2 linked regions of the Notamacropus eugenii genome follow. The protein of the gene in region 1 purifies or fractionates together with the protein of each later gene. This does not show direct contact. Links are inferred from orthologs where the notes say so. Each region holds a gene or a part of one and is shown in the gene's direction. Other genes may lie near its edges.

Evidence for each region. Proteins that work in one complex are often made in the same cells at the same time.
Region 2: the proteins of ARHGEF2 (region 1) and MARK2 purify together in Homo sapiens (affinity purification with western blotting; 3 studies listed by BioGRID and IntAct, with this or other methods). This does not show direct contact. The link is inferred for Notamacropus eugenii from reciprocal best matches to the Homo sapiens genes ARHGEF2 and MARK2.

What each region holds. Positions count from the first base shown.
Region 1 is NC_092873.1:380,102,207-380,109,286, reverse strand, and holds the start of ARHGEF2 (rho guanine nucleotide exchange factor 2), read left to right. Parts: upstream 1-4,080; 5' UTR 4,081-4,096; coding exon 4,097-4,099; intron 4,100-5,991; coding exon 5,992-6,272; intron 6,273-7,080. UniProt on the Homo sapiens protein: Activates Rho-GTPases by promoting the exchange of GDP for GTP.
Region 2 is NC_092873.1:16,682,912-16,690,109, forward strand, and holds the start of MARK2 (serine/threonine-protein kinase MARK2), read left to right. Parts: upstream 1-4,184; 5' UTR 4,185-4,284; coding exon 4,285-4,341; intron 4,342-5,109; exon of another isoform or gene 5,110-5,160; intron 5,161-7,198. UniProt on the Homo sapiens protein: Serine/threonine-protein kinase. Involved in cell polarity and microtubule dynamics regulation. Phosphorylates CRTC2/TORC2, DCX, HDAC7, KIF13B, MAP2, MAP4 and RAB11FIP2. Phosphorylates the microtubule-associated protein MAPT/TAU.

The sequences.
Region 1 (7,080 bases):
AATTTTCTCTGGAAAGAGTCTCATCTGCAGGGGGCTGGAGTAGGTTCCCCAACAACGGTGAGTTTGTTCCTCCCTTTCCTCCAACCCAAGCTCCTGTCTAAAAACAGGAGTAACCAGAAAAGTGGTACTCTTTAGGAAGCCTCTCTAGCCCCCTGATAAATCACTAAACCCTTTGTCTCCTCATTGACTTTCACCCAGCTCTAACATTCGATTGTGTCTGTGGGAGTATGTTTGGGATGTATGTTTTCTTGTTGGAGCTCCTCATTCAGCCATCAAGCCATTTTCCCCTTCCCCCCAAGCAAATACTGTCTCTCCTCCCAGGGTAGAAGTGGGGAAGGCAACAGAGACCCTAGCCTTCCAGCTCCCATGTTATTATATCCCCATGACTTGGGGACCCAAGCCCTATTTCTAGTTGTTCTCCAGAAATTTCTTGATGGGGGTGGTGGAAATTCTGTTCTAGGATAGCCATTCCCTGGCCAAAGTCTCTTCCTTCGTGTGTGTCCTACTGAACCTCTGGTTGTCCTACCTCTTTACCACTGTATTTGGAATCAATGCCAAGAAACCAGCCTTAAATGAAAGAGGATTGGCATTCTCCCCTTTCCTCCCAACTTAATATGCTCTTCTCTGAATACCACCATGCCTACCTCTTAGTTCCTCGTAAGGGAATTGCTCTCTCAGGGTAAAGGTAGCTCAGGGGTGGGGGGAATAGTAATGGTTATGATAAGAAAACTGATAGCCATAGTGCTTAACAGTTTATATTGTCTCACTTGAGCCTCACAGTATCCTGCTGAGGTAGGTACTATAATGACTATTCCTCATTTTATATATGAGGAAACAGGCTTAGATTAAGTGATTTACCCCCTGGTCTCTCTGTCCAAAATGGGATTTGAATGCAACAGGTTTTCCTGATCCCAAGCCCAGCACCTTTTTACCCTGTCAAACTGCTGCTTGTGGTGAAGGGGAAGAAGCTGAGATGTCTTGCTTTCTGATCCGTTATACGCTATAGCAAGAGAATGTGTGGTTAGTCTTAGGAGGTGAAGGGATGCTGTGGTCCCTTCCCAACAGAACTGAATTGCTGGAGATCATTGCTGGAGAGCTGGTGGCTAACTCATCAGTCTGGCCCTAGAGTATACAAGTGAGTGGCTGGCTGGAGGCAAGCCTGGAAACTGGTATGGGTCAGTGGCAGGGGTACTTGGTATATCCCCAGCCTTGCTACCTTCCAGAGTTAGTGCCTGTGTCCCATCTCATTAACTTTGGGGGTCAGGAGGTGGCTGGGTTTCTGGATTTAGGGATCCTAGTCCCATCATTCTCTCTTCTTCCTGTCTCAGAATTGGGTCTGCATTTGTTTTCAGTGTTTGACTGAGAGGTTGGGGCTAAGTACTTAATTAGGTGCCAGGATACCCAGGGTAGAGATCGAAGATTTGTCAGAAATTCTTCTCAGGTCCTCAGAGGTGGGGTTGTGACTTGAACATACAAAGCCCAGCATTCTAATAACCTCAGGATTCAAAATTGCCAGAGTGAGGAGGAAATATTAGAGCCCTGGATTCCTGGGGTCAGCCCTAGGCTAGGAGAGTCACCAGGTGCTATAGGAGGTAGAGATAATACAGAATCTACTGGGACCTTTCTCACTAAGTGTCTTAGAAGAGACTCTAACTTAAGCATGAATGCTTTAGTCCTCACACTAGGACTTGAATTAATGATTTACCCAAGAAGAGGAGAAGTGTAGTTAAATTTTGAACCATCAAAGGACTGTCTGTGACCCTGGCTCCCTAGAGCTATAAGGCCTGTAAAGAAGCCATTAAACCATAACATCCAGCCTCTCCTTCTTCTGAAGTGGGGAGGGGATGGGGGGGAAAGAGGGGGAGAAGAGATAGGTATCTTTAGGAGGTAGGTGTCTTTTTTTTAAAGTTACTTTGAAGAGACAGTTAAGAACCTAAAACTCAGTTCCTAGGAGCCTCCTAGGCCTGAGAAACGATCAAAGTTGCCTCCCAGTTGTAAAATGCTTGGTTATTAGTTTGACGCAATCATCTTTCTACTCTCCTGTGTTTCCCTCTCTTTTCCAACCCTTCTATGTACCTACCCCCATCTCTCTCTGTCTCTGTCTCTGTCTCTGTCTCTCTCTCACACACACACACACACACACACACACACACACACACCACACACACACACACCCCAGCATTTACTGGCAGCAAACACTTCTGGAACACAGCTCCACCACCCAGCTTTTCAGGGAAACTGATGGAATGGACAGAAAAATTTTTAAAAATGTTTCAGTTTGGGGAGTGGAGGGACTGTCTCTACCTGATTTCTTTTAGGACATGCTTGGTTTCTTTAGGGGATTATCTCCTAATTTAGTATGAGATAGTTCTTCATTTTTCATTCCAGCTATATAACTGGGGGCTGGAAGCTGGTCATGCTTTGGACCTACACACTCTCATTTACATTCATTACCCTCTCAACTGCCCAAACCTCTCCCTACACACTAGGTAAGTGGGAATGCCAGCCTCTGGACCCAGTAACACCTTCTCCAAGCCAGACTGACAGACTGGTAGAGTGTTTCTGTGGGTAGGCATTTTGTCTTCTGCTCAGGGTGCCCAGGGCAGCCTAGTGCAGTGGTTAGAATGCTGGACAGGAAGTGCTATCAGGAAGTCCTGGGTCCAAATCCAGCCTCAGGCACTTACCAGCTGTGTAACCCTAATTAAGTCATTTCTCAGAGTCTTAGTTTCCTCTTCTCTAAAATGAGGATAATAATAGCCCCTACCTCACAGAGATAATGTATGTAAAACCCTAGGAAAGAATCATAATATAAACGATTATTTTCTTGTTCCTTCCATGGTCTGGGTCTCTTCCTTTTATTGGGTAACTGTCCCACCGTCTTGCGTTAATTTCAGTCTGTTTGTCTTCTGTTCTTTTCTCTGTGAAGATGGTTCGCTATCATGTAATTCAGGTAATAGCTGAAGATACTCAGACCCCCATTCCTGGCTCTCTCTGCCTTGGACAGGCTCCTCAGGACTCCCTTTCTCCAACTGCAACATGGACTGACACTTTCTCCCTGCTTCCTCACTTCTCTTCTGCCCCTCCAAAAAGCTTGTATCTCAGGTAACCTCTTTGAATACCATGGTCAATTTAGAGACAAGGTTCCCCCTCCTCTCAACCTGAATTCAGTTCAGTGAATGCGTCTCTCCCCTCTGCATTCTTTTCTTCTTAACTGTTCTATCACTCAACATTGAGTACTTTGCTCATTGCTCCAAGAATGTTGACCAAGTGACTAGTTCAGTTGTTAACTGCAGCAGAGGGGATGCAGGTTAGACACCCAAAAGGCTTCCTTGAAGTTAGAGATGGTTCTTGAAAGGGTGCTTGAAAATGGAGATGCATGTTGACCCTTCAGGGCAAGAGAACCATCCTACCTTGAAGGGGATGAATGAACTGACCTACTCTCTTCCTGAGGTTCTTCCCCACCCCACCCCACCCCCAAAAGTGTTGAACAACTCAGATCTATTTCGGAACCTCCTATCTATGCTCAGTGGAAACAGCACTGTGACATGATATGATCTCATTCTGAAGCTAAATAAAGCCATTGTGTGAGACCCAGCTCTGGCTACTACTCCCTTGTTCCATTTCCTAAGCTCAGGAGGCCTGTGGGGAGAGAGGGCTTGAGGGAGAGTCTTTGGAAGGAATAAAGATCATGGAACAGAAAAGGAAATGCAGCAAGGAGGCCAGGGTTTGGGAAAGGAATTACCAAGAGCTGGTACTGTTGGGGAGGCAGCCAAACCCCAGTCCCTTGAAGAGTAGAGTGAGGCTTCTATGTGACAGCCCAGGGACAAAAGAAAGGATTTTCTGGAAGTGTAAGAAGAGACTTTCACATCACAGTGCTTGAGAAATGCCTCACTGGCCTTCAGTTTCTTCCTCTGGAAAATGATGCTATTGGTCAATGTGATCTCTAAGATTCATTCCGACTCTAAATCCTGTCTCTGTGTCATCAGAGGGAGGAAGAACTTCTGGGGATTCCATCTTCAGAAAGACTAGAATGTGAGCAGAGGGAATCCCACCACTGGTAGAGAGAATTGGAAAGCCTTCCCCTGGATGGACCAGCATGGTACTGGCACCAGGGAAGTGGGCACTTTGGGCTTTGGAAGGAAGAGGGAGGAACTCCGTGATATCAGAATCAGGGGCTGTGTTTGTAGGGCTAGGGGATCAGGTGATTTGTCTCCAGGAAGGGAGAGAAAACAGGAAAAGACTTCGGTTCATTTCCTTCTGCTTGCCATGCCTCTTCCTATTTTAATTCTAGATATGGAGCTATGGGGTGGAGGGGAGAAAAAGCAGGTGAGAGAGATAGGGGTGGTTTGTTGTTGTTCAGTTATGTCCAATTCTTCATGACCCCATTTGGGTTTGGGAGTTTATTTTGGCAGAGATACTGGAGTGGTTTGCCATTACCTTCTCCAGCTCATTTTACAGATGAGGAAACTGAGGCAAACAGGGCTAAGTGACTTGCTCAGGGTCACGTAGCTAGTAGTGTCTGAGGTCAGATTTGAATTCCAGTCTTCCTGACTCCTGCTCCAGCACTTTATCTACTTCACCACCTAGCTGCGTGGAGATAGGGGTGGAGACTCACTACTTATTTCCATGTGCATCTAGAGACAATAAAGCTCCTATTCTCTCCTCATTTGTGCCCCCTCCAGTCCCTCTCTAGTTCCTGTCCCTTTTCCCTCAGCCACAGTTCCACACAATTTTGTATCTACCTTTCTCTGGAAAGTGCGCAGTTGACAGAGAGTCCTGCTCTGACCCCAGAGCTATTCAACATCTTTCCCACTCCCTTCAGACATACCTATCCTGGCTGCCAACATGATCGGATGCCAGCTTGTACAAATGGCATAGGCCCAGCTATGGAGAAGGAAGAAAGTCTCTTCTGGTGGCTGGCTACACATTTGTCATCTCCTTGGCATAGGAAGGACATGGATAGGCACAATGGCTGCACCTAGTTTCCCTTTCCATCCCTGGGTTCCATTGGTCAGGAACAAAGACCAGCTGCAGAAGTCTAAAAGCCTGAGTCTGCCTTAGGTGGTAAAGGGTCACAAGGTTGTAGATGACTGGCCAACAATCTCTTTTTCTGTAGCTTCTGCATGTAGCCAGGGATAGTGGGCAAACTGGATTGGGAGGGAGGGAAAATAGATGATAGGAAGAACTTTTTGACATTCAGGAGATCCCTGGGGTAACCAATGGACTTGGGAGAAGTTTATGCTCCACCTTCATACCCCTTCCCTTGATGGTCCTGGCAGAGGGAATGACCCTCCTGCCTTTCAACAGATTATAACCACTCCTGAAATCTCACTGGATAGTGAGGTGTAATCCTTAGAGAATTAGTCCCTGGAAACTCAGATGCCTGTATCTCCATCACAGCAAAGGGCTTAAAAATGTGGACTAGGCATTGGTTTGGTGGATTGGTTGGAATTGCTTCATGGATTGGGATTTCATCACCCTCAATGTCAAAAGTCCTTGGAGAGTTCATGGATCTTTGATATAATCTAGCATGAGCACTGTTACCGAAGTGCCTGTCTCTAAGAAGGGCTCATTTGCTACTTCACAACCCATCTCCATGCCAAATCACCTAGAATATACTCCACCCCTTTTGAACAATAGCTCTGGAAACTATTCATATCAACACTACCATTCCTAGAAAGGCCATATCAATTATTTGTCAAAACATACTTGTTTGTATTTATATCTAATAACTAGCATATAGTTATTTTCATTCATTCATTTGAAAGAGGGTGCAGTTGATAAGGTGAGAGAAGTCTGTCTCAGGGGAACAAAAACCAAAGTTGGTTGGTGTAACTGGAAACCCTGGCATTAAAAAAAAGCAAAAATGAAAGATATTTAGGAAGCTAGCCTGGAAGGATGAGAGTTGCCTCTCCTCATCCAAAGTAGGAGGCCCTTGAAGGAGAATACCCAAGCCTACCTTCCCCCAACCTCTATTTGTCTTCTGTCTAGGCCAGCCCATCTGCCACTTCCATGAATGACAAAATCCCAGAGGCCATCCTGGCAAGAGGAGACCCCAAGCCCCAAGGAAGAACTCAGAGATGCCTGTCAGCCGTGGAGCCCAGCGGGCAGTCTCAGGAAGAAGAGGAGGAAGAGGAAGATGGCTTCCAACCAGTGCTCCGCCGAAGAGCAAAAGCCCATCAGGCCCGAAGCTACATTTGTGATCCTTTCAGACGACATAGTTGGGAGCCTGGTAGTGTGTTCCAGGAAGCTGCCAATGATCCACTGGGAGGGTAAGCCCCCAAGGGACCTATCTATTCTGCTTCCCCACCTATCTTTTCAGAATCCTTAGACTTAGGAAAAGATGGAATAGTGAGAAGAACTAAGTTGCTTTAGTACTTTAATCACTTGCATACAGATGCCCTCAGATTTGGGAGATAGGTAGGGCAGGGGAGTCTGAGACCTCTAGTTACCACCTAAGGGACTTAAATGGACAAAACCCAGGTATCTAATTCAGAATCTCTTTTGGACTCTAGGGGTTCCTGCCTATGGTCTTAGAGTAGATCTCTTTTAGTAGCCTAAATTCCTCCAATAATCCTTCTTTCTTGCTTTTTGAAGAATTGGGAAAACTGAGGGAGGGGAGAACAGGATTCCCTTTCTTAGCTACTATTTTCTGTCAGTACTGGGTTCTATCCCTGTCTTTAGCTGCTATTCTCTCCCTTCCTTCCTAAGTGTGACATATATCTTTAATCTTGAATTTTGTAGAATCATGGACAATGCCAGGAGAAACCTTATAGTTTATCTCATCTAACTCCTTTAATTTTTCAGATGAAAAAAACAGGGAAGGAGAGAAGTTCAATTGTTTCGGAGATTTCTAGGGAGAGTTTAGCATAGTACCTCCTACCCCACATTCAAGAATATGCCAACCCACGGATTTCACTCTGAGGCTAGCACAAAAGTAACTTCTCAACAATTTTAAATTTAGTGGACTAAACTTGCATTTTGATAGAATAAATTCTCAGCTTTTTGGGTATTCTAGGAGTTAGGATACTTTGGATATGGGTAAAGGGAACAGTCTACACACCCCCAGAGCTGGGCACA
Region 2 (7,198 bases), about 360 Mb from region 1:
GCCATTTTGGATCTCAGCCTCTTTTGAGTTTTTCCGATTCTGATTTCAATACCCCCTTCTAATCCATTGACAAGTATTAATTAAGCTCCTGTTATATGCTGGGTGCCAGGAATGCAAAATGAAACGGGGATTACTAGGGAGATAACACATATACGTATATAAAATTGAATAAATACAAAAATCAGTTCGAGGTAGTTATAAATGAAGTTTGGGAAGGTATCAGCAATTGTGGGAGACAAAGGGACAGGTAAAGCTTTGTTCAGAAGGTGGTGTTTCATGAGAGTCTTGAAGGAAGTGAGAAATTTGGTGTTGGAGTTGCGAAGGGAATGAATTTCAGGTCTGGGGAGAGAAAGACGAGTACAAAGACATAAAGATGAGAGACAGAGAGCCCAGAGCGGAAGACAGAGAAAAATCCAGTCTCAAAAGACCATAGATTGAGAAAGGGTGGAGTGGATAATGAAGGTGGTCCAGTTGTCAGGAGGTTTAAAAGCAAAATGGAGGAGTTTATATGGTATGCTAAAGTAACAAGAGTCTGTGGCTTGTGGGAAAGAAACCATTTTGGCAACTATGGGAGTGGACAGGGAGGCAGGGACCTCCAATTAGGAGGTCGTTATAATTGTATAGCAGAGTGGTGACAAGGGTCTGACTAAGGTAATTGAATGATAATGAGAAAAAGACCTATTTGAAGTGGTTCAAGGGGAGAAACTGCATGATTTGACAACTGCCTGGACCTGTGGGGTGAGGAAGTGTGAGGACTTGATGACAATGAGACCTTGGGAATCTGGGAGACTGGAAGGATGGGAGGAACCTTCAGCAAAAACAAGGAAAGTCAGGAGAGGGAGGATGGAGAAAAAGATAATGAGTTCTGTTTTGGACAAGCTGAGTTTTAGGTGCCTGCAGGGCATCCAGTTTGAAATTATTCCTGTCCCTGAAATATTCATCCATAGAGAACTTTGAGCTCCCAGGGGTGAGCTTGCTAGCTAGCTACCAGAAGGCAAAGTCTAGGCATCATCTTTAGAATAGGAGCTACAATTGTTCTTTGTTAGAACCAGAGGAATACCCTGGGGGCATTGTGTAGATTTTTCTGTGGTCCTTCTGTTGGAGGACAAGAATCCCATAACTTGATTTAGGGATTGGAAGGGACCTTAGTGCCACCTAATCCAAGCCAAACCTGGAAAACACCCATGACAACACTGGTGTCAAGTGACCTGCCAGTGTCTGCTTGAAGACATCTAAGGAAGAAGCTGCTACTACCTGCCCAGGTGGCTGCATCCACTGGTGGGTGGCTTGAAGGGTTGGAAGGTTTTTCCCAACTTCCAGTCTCAGTCTCTGCTTTGCAATCCTGCCCATGAACTCAAGCATCTTCACCCTCCTTGTCACCCTTTTCCGGAGACTCTTATCAATGTCCTTTTCAGAACATGGTGCCTGGAACTGAAAATAACACTCCAGATCATCTGGTCAAAACAGAGAAGAGAGGATCCCTTAGACACCATCTAATCCAATCCCCTCATTTTACAGATGAAGAAACTGAGGCACAGGCAGGTCTCCTGGCATCAGGAGATCTAGGTGTCAGTACTGATACTGTCAGTGTGTGAGTTTTGGCATCTCAGTTTCCTCAACTCTAAAATGGGTTTAATAATCTCATACTACCTCTCTTACAGGGCAAAGTGCTTTGGAAACCTTTAAAATGTCCTGAGACTGGTGAGCTCTTCTAAGCATCCAGAATTATTCAGTGGTATTAACTTTTACATGCTTGGTGGACATTATAGCCTCAGCCAGTGAATGACAAAGGGGCGATTAGGAAATATGAGTTAATAACAGCCTTTTGGGAGCCCAGAGCTATCAGCAAGGCAGCAATCATTAGAAGTCTCCCTTTCATGTCTTGTTGAGGAGTGTAGGCCTGCCTGGAGTGTGCCAGGGTCAGGGGAGACCCCTGAGCCTTCTTGACTTGTGGGGGTAGGGACGTGAGCTTCAGCAAGCTTCCTTGGTTCCTCTCCTTTCCCATCCCTGATGCAGCTTTTAGGATTATGGGGTATCCTTGGGACTGTTGTATGTGGCTGACCATAGCCACCAGCAAGTAATCCGATCTGCAGTAAATAAGATAACAAAATGAAGATGATTTTCAGAGGGATAGATGGGTTGCTTGACAGACAAATAGTAACTGATTTATATGGTGCCTTAATAATGAAAGATAATCATAGTAATATACCACTGCTGCTAATACTAATTGCTGTCTTCAAGTCTTTGATGGGCTGCCATGTGCAAGAGGGACTAGATTCCATTAAAGTATTTGTTAGATGCCTGCTATGTGCTAGGTCCTCTGCTAAGTGCTGAGGATACAAAAAATAACGAAAACGAAACAGTCTCTATTCTCAACAAGTTTATATTCCAAGGGGGAAAGTGGAGTTGGGAGAAAGTAGGTGGTGGAGAGTCATCCTGGAGCCAGGCTGCCTCAAGTGGGGAGCCAAAGCAGACAGGAGCCAGGAGGCCGCACTCAGAAACAGCTTCACATGCACCATCTCAGTTGAGCTCCACAAGAACTCTGTGAAGTAGGTATTTTTACTCTTTTATAGATGAGGAAATGGGGTCTGAGAGGTGACCTGCTCATACAGTCACATAGCCAGCGTCTGAGGCAGGAAGCCCTGCCCTCTCCACTGCACCCCTTCATCAGACTGCTTTGCTCTGTTTGGCTCCAGGAAGCAGAAGTGGGGTCACTTGCAATAACTTCTATTTTCCTAGGACATGTGAGGGAGGTGATACGAAGATCCTAAGTCCCATTCCACCGAAGAGAAGACTGAGGCAGAGAGAGCCTGCAGTCCGGGAGGTCTTCGGATCCAAGGCCAGCCCTCCTTCCCTGCACCAGTCTGGGCGCCCACTTGAGGGTGGGCACCTTTCAGCTCCCCTGGAGGACGAAGTTCTTCATTTCAGCTGTCTCCGAGGGCGGTGCGTTCGCCCGGACAGGTGGCGGCCGCGGGTCAGACGTGCAGAGAGGCGGCTCCCAGGGGAGGCACGGACCCCGAGTGCCAGCGTCGCTGCTGCTCGTCGCCCCGAGGCTGCTGAGGGTTTCTCGAACTTCTGCTCTAAACGAAGGGGTCTCTGCGGTCCGCGGCAGCCGCAGACGGAGGAGCCGCTCAGGGGCGTGGGCAGGGCGGTGCACTCCGCGCGGCCGGAGGGGCAGGATCCGATTATCGGAAACGCTCGGTAACCCCGCAAGTGTACGTGCTCCCGTTTAGCCTCGGGAAGCTGACGTCAGTTACCTGTCCACGCAGGTGGCGGCTCGAGGGTGGGATTGGAGCCCCGGCCCCGCCCACATCCGGCTTCCCCTGCCCCACCCCCCCGCGCCCCCATCTCGTTCTCCAGGGGAAGAGGTCCCGGTCTTTGCCGCCCCATTCCGGCGGCGCTTGAAGGGTTACACAGCGCTCCGAGGACGTCGGCCCCGCGGGCCTCCGTGCGGTGTGCGGGGCCTCTGCGGGCCGGCCCCCAAGGGCCCCGCCTGGGTACCGCTCCGGGGATGCCGTGAGGCCGGGGACAGCCCGCGCTCCGGGTGTTTCCGGAAGTAGCCTGGGCCCGCCCCCGGCTGCGGGGGCGGGGCGGAGGGCGTGGCCAGCTCGTAGCACGCCGCTCGCCGCCCTGGCCCGAGCTGCGGGCAAAGAGCCCGGGCGGAGTCTGCAAGGGGCGGGGAGGGGCGGGCTTAGGAGCGAGTGGGCGTGTCCAGGGGCCGGCCGCGCCCGCCGCGCTCCCCTTCGGCCGTTTCCGGAGCCCTGGGCCGGCGAGCGCGCTCCCGTGGCTCCCGCCTTCGGCTGTTTCCGGAGGCCAGCCTCAGCCAGGAGCCGGGCGCCCGGCGCTTCGGCTGTTTCCGGCCGCTGGCGGCGGAAAGAGCCGAGGGCCGGCGGCGGCGGCGGCCATGTTGGGAGCAGCAGGGCCGGCGGCGGCGGCGGCGGCGGCGGCAGCGGCGGCGGCGGCTGCCTGTGAGGCGGGCGCGGAGCGGAGCCGCTGAAGGCAGCGGAGGCGCGGCGCGGGCGGCGCGGGCGGCGAGCGGGCCAGGCGGCGGCGCGGCCGAGCGGCGGCCCAGCCCAGCCCGGGCCCGGGCCCGGGGGCCGCCCCGGAGCCGCCCGGAGCCGGCGCGGCCTAGCCCAAGCGGCGCAGCCGCGGGCTGGCGTGAGCGGCCGGCCCGGCCTCCCCGCACCCCTGGCTGGGGCCCATGCGGCCGGGGCCCCCGCGCTGAGCCGCCCGGCGCCCGCGGCCCTTCCCCGCAGCCCCCGGGCCCCCGGACCCGGCGGCACCATGTCCAGCGCCCGGACCCCCCTGCCCACGCTGAACGAGAGGGACACGGAGCAGCAGGTAGGAGCGCGCCGTCCGGGGCCGCTGCCCCTGCCCACGCCGTGCCAGCCGGGCCTGCCGTCCCCTGCCTCCCCTCGGGGACGGGGCTGCCGCCCGGCCCTGGCACCCCAGCGCCCGCCGTCCCGCTGTCACTTTCTCCGGGCAACCTGTTGCTCCGCCCGCGCCCCGCCCGGGGTCCGCGAGGCCCCGGGGCCCCTGACCCCGCCAGGGCAGGGTGGCCACACCCCGGGCTTCCTCTGCACCCTGGCCGCCCTCCTTCCTGACACGGAGGGGGAGGGGGCGGAGAGCCTGGCGGGGGTCCCTGCCCCCTTGCTCCGGCAGTCCGGGGTCTACACCGCAGCCCGCGGAAGCCCGGAGTTTACATCGCTCCACTCCTCCCAGCATCACCCGAAGTTGACCCGCTTCTGACACCTGGGGGGCGGGGGCTGGCACCCCCTGGGAAGCCTCTTCCGCCCTGTTCTGTGGTCCCATCGCCCTGCCCCTGGCATCCCGCAGTCAGTAGCCCCAGGGGCCCCTCCCCACGACCGTTGGGTCTGTGTTGTCTTTGGGGGTGAAGCGGAGGTGGGGGGGCCGCGACCCCCCGGGAGCCTTCGCAGCCTGTTCTGATGCCACCCCCACTGTCTCCCAGACCCTGCCTGAATGAACTCGGACGCCCGCTCAGCATTTGGATCTCCACTTTCTGGGGGGTCGTAGGTGGGCTGAGCGGACAATGAAAGCCTCCTGTTCCCTCGGATCTTTCAGGTCCTTGCTGAAGGATGCCAGTGTTGGGGGGAGTGCCCCGCTGCCTTTTATTTGATCGCAGCCACTTGAAAGACTGATGTGAGTCTGGCTTCTGCACCCTTAGGGTGCCCCACCTCTGGGGGCCCCTTACCTCTCCCCATCCTTGTGGAAGAGCTGCTCCCACTGTCCTCAGCCCAGCTCCGGGCCTATGGCACATCCCAGATTCAGACAGGTGACAGGAGGCTTCCCCAGAGGAAGCCTGGCAAACTGGAGCCCAAGGGGCAGCAGAGCCAAGAAGGAGAAGCCCCATCTTGTTCCTCGGAGGCTTCTCCACGTGAAGGCAGTGTCAGCAGCCAGCTGGGTGCTGAGGATTCCCCTCCTCGCTGGCAGGGATGTGTGGGGAGACTCCCCACCCCCATGAAAGGCTCTCTGACCCTAGCTTTACATCGGGATGACTTCACCTGGTTCTGCCAGAAACAGGTAAAGCATTGGCATCTTGGAGCTTTTTCCTCTCTTTCCTTTGCTCTTTTCCCCAGAGCTGTCTGAAAAAAAAATTGAACACTCTCCTCCCCCCCCATGCTGATGAACAGGGAGGGCGGCCAGCTGGTAGTAGTGTGACTGCCTTGGAGGTGCTTTTAGTGACATCTGATTCTGAGTTCTGTTCTGTCCTATCTGCCCCAGACACAACTTTGTGTCCTGAAGAGGGTTTCTTGGATGGGGGGGCGGGCAGCATTTGGGGCAGTTTTTTGCTTATTTCTTTTTCAAACAGGGCTCCTGGATTGGAGACTTAGCAGGCATAAAGGCAGTCAACAAAATGACAGCCTGTCTTCTAGCCAGTGGCCACAGTAAGAGGAAAGTGCAGTGAGGCATGGCTTTCAGTCTACTTGCTGTTGGCCAGGGTCTGACATGAATCAGATGCCTTGAAACCTACCCTATATTTGGGCCTCAGAACTGTCAAGGAAAGCCCCAAGCTCTGTCCTGCTGGTCCCTGTTAGGCAGTGGGAACGTTGGAGTTGCTCTCAGTCTTCTAGGGAGCTCTGAGCTTTGCTTTTTCCTTTCCATCCGTCTTTGGAGAAGAGGCCACACCAGGATGACTTGAGACCCTGAGTGGATTGTGTGACTGGCTGCCTTCTCTGCTGTTTCCAGTCAGGTTGAGGTTGAAGATGGCATTTTGATAGATCAGTGTTCTCTCTGTGAAATGGAGTTAATGATAAAACTATACATCCTACTTGGTCCTTGTGAGGAAAAATCCTTTATGATCCTTTAAAATGCTATAGATAAATGGGCTGCTATTAATATTGTAGTGATTTCTCTGTAGGTAGGTTGCGGGCACTGTGAATTGGGACTGTAGGTAGGCCTTGACTGTTTAGGAGCATGCTCCTTTGCCTTGTGGAAAGGCCCTCCTGGTCTGAGCCTGGGCGGGTTGGGGATGTGACTGCATTATCCTAACCCACATTAGCTTGGCCCTGGGGCTTCAGATCTGGGAAGTGCCAGATTAGAGGCTGTGGGTAAGGTGGAGGGTGATTCTAGAAACAATTCCAAGTCAGTCTTGGTCAGTCCTTGGTCAGACCTTGAGCCATTGCTTTCTGTTGACTTCCAGGGGTAGTCAAACAGGAGGTTAGAGCTTGATTTAAGGCCATCCTGGGTGTGGTCTGTTGGTTTCTAGTTGAAATTCAACTGGCTCCAGGTTAAAGCTAGCCTTGCAAAGGCACAGGCAGCCTTTCAGGTTGTAACCAAAGATTGGCTGGAAACCTTTTTTTTTGGTAACTGTTGTGAGTGGAATTCAGTGTTTTAAGGTAGGGCCAAGAGAATTTCTATGAGCCTGACAGGTTTGCAGTTCTCTTGGGAAGTCCAAAACTTCCCAGGTCACACTGGTTCCCCTTTGAACAGTGACTCTAGCTCATTGGGCATCTGACCAGGACTAGGTCCCATGCCTTCATTAACTCTTTCACAACTAGACTTTAGACACCTGCCTCTGTTGCTAGGATCTTTCCTTATTCTGCTCCATGTGTGTTATGTCAACTGGAATAAATATTTCTTGTCCACACAGTACAGTCAAGTCATGGGCCCATTATCCACAAGCCAGGTGGGGGTTGGGGAAATGGTCCCCTATTGGCCCAGTCAGTATTTTAGCTTG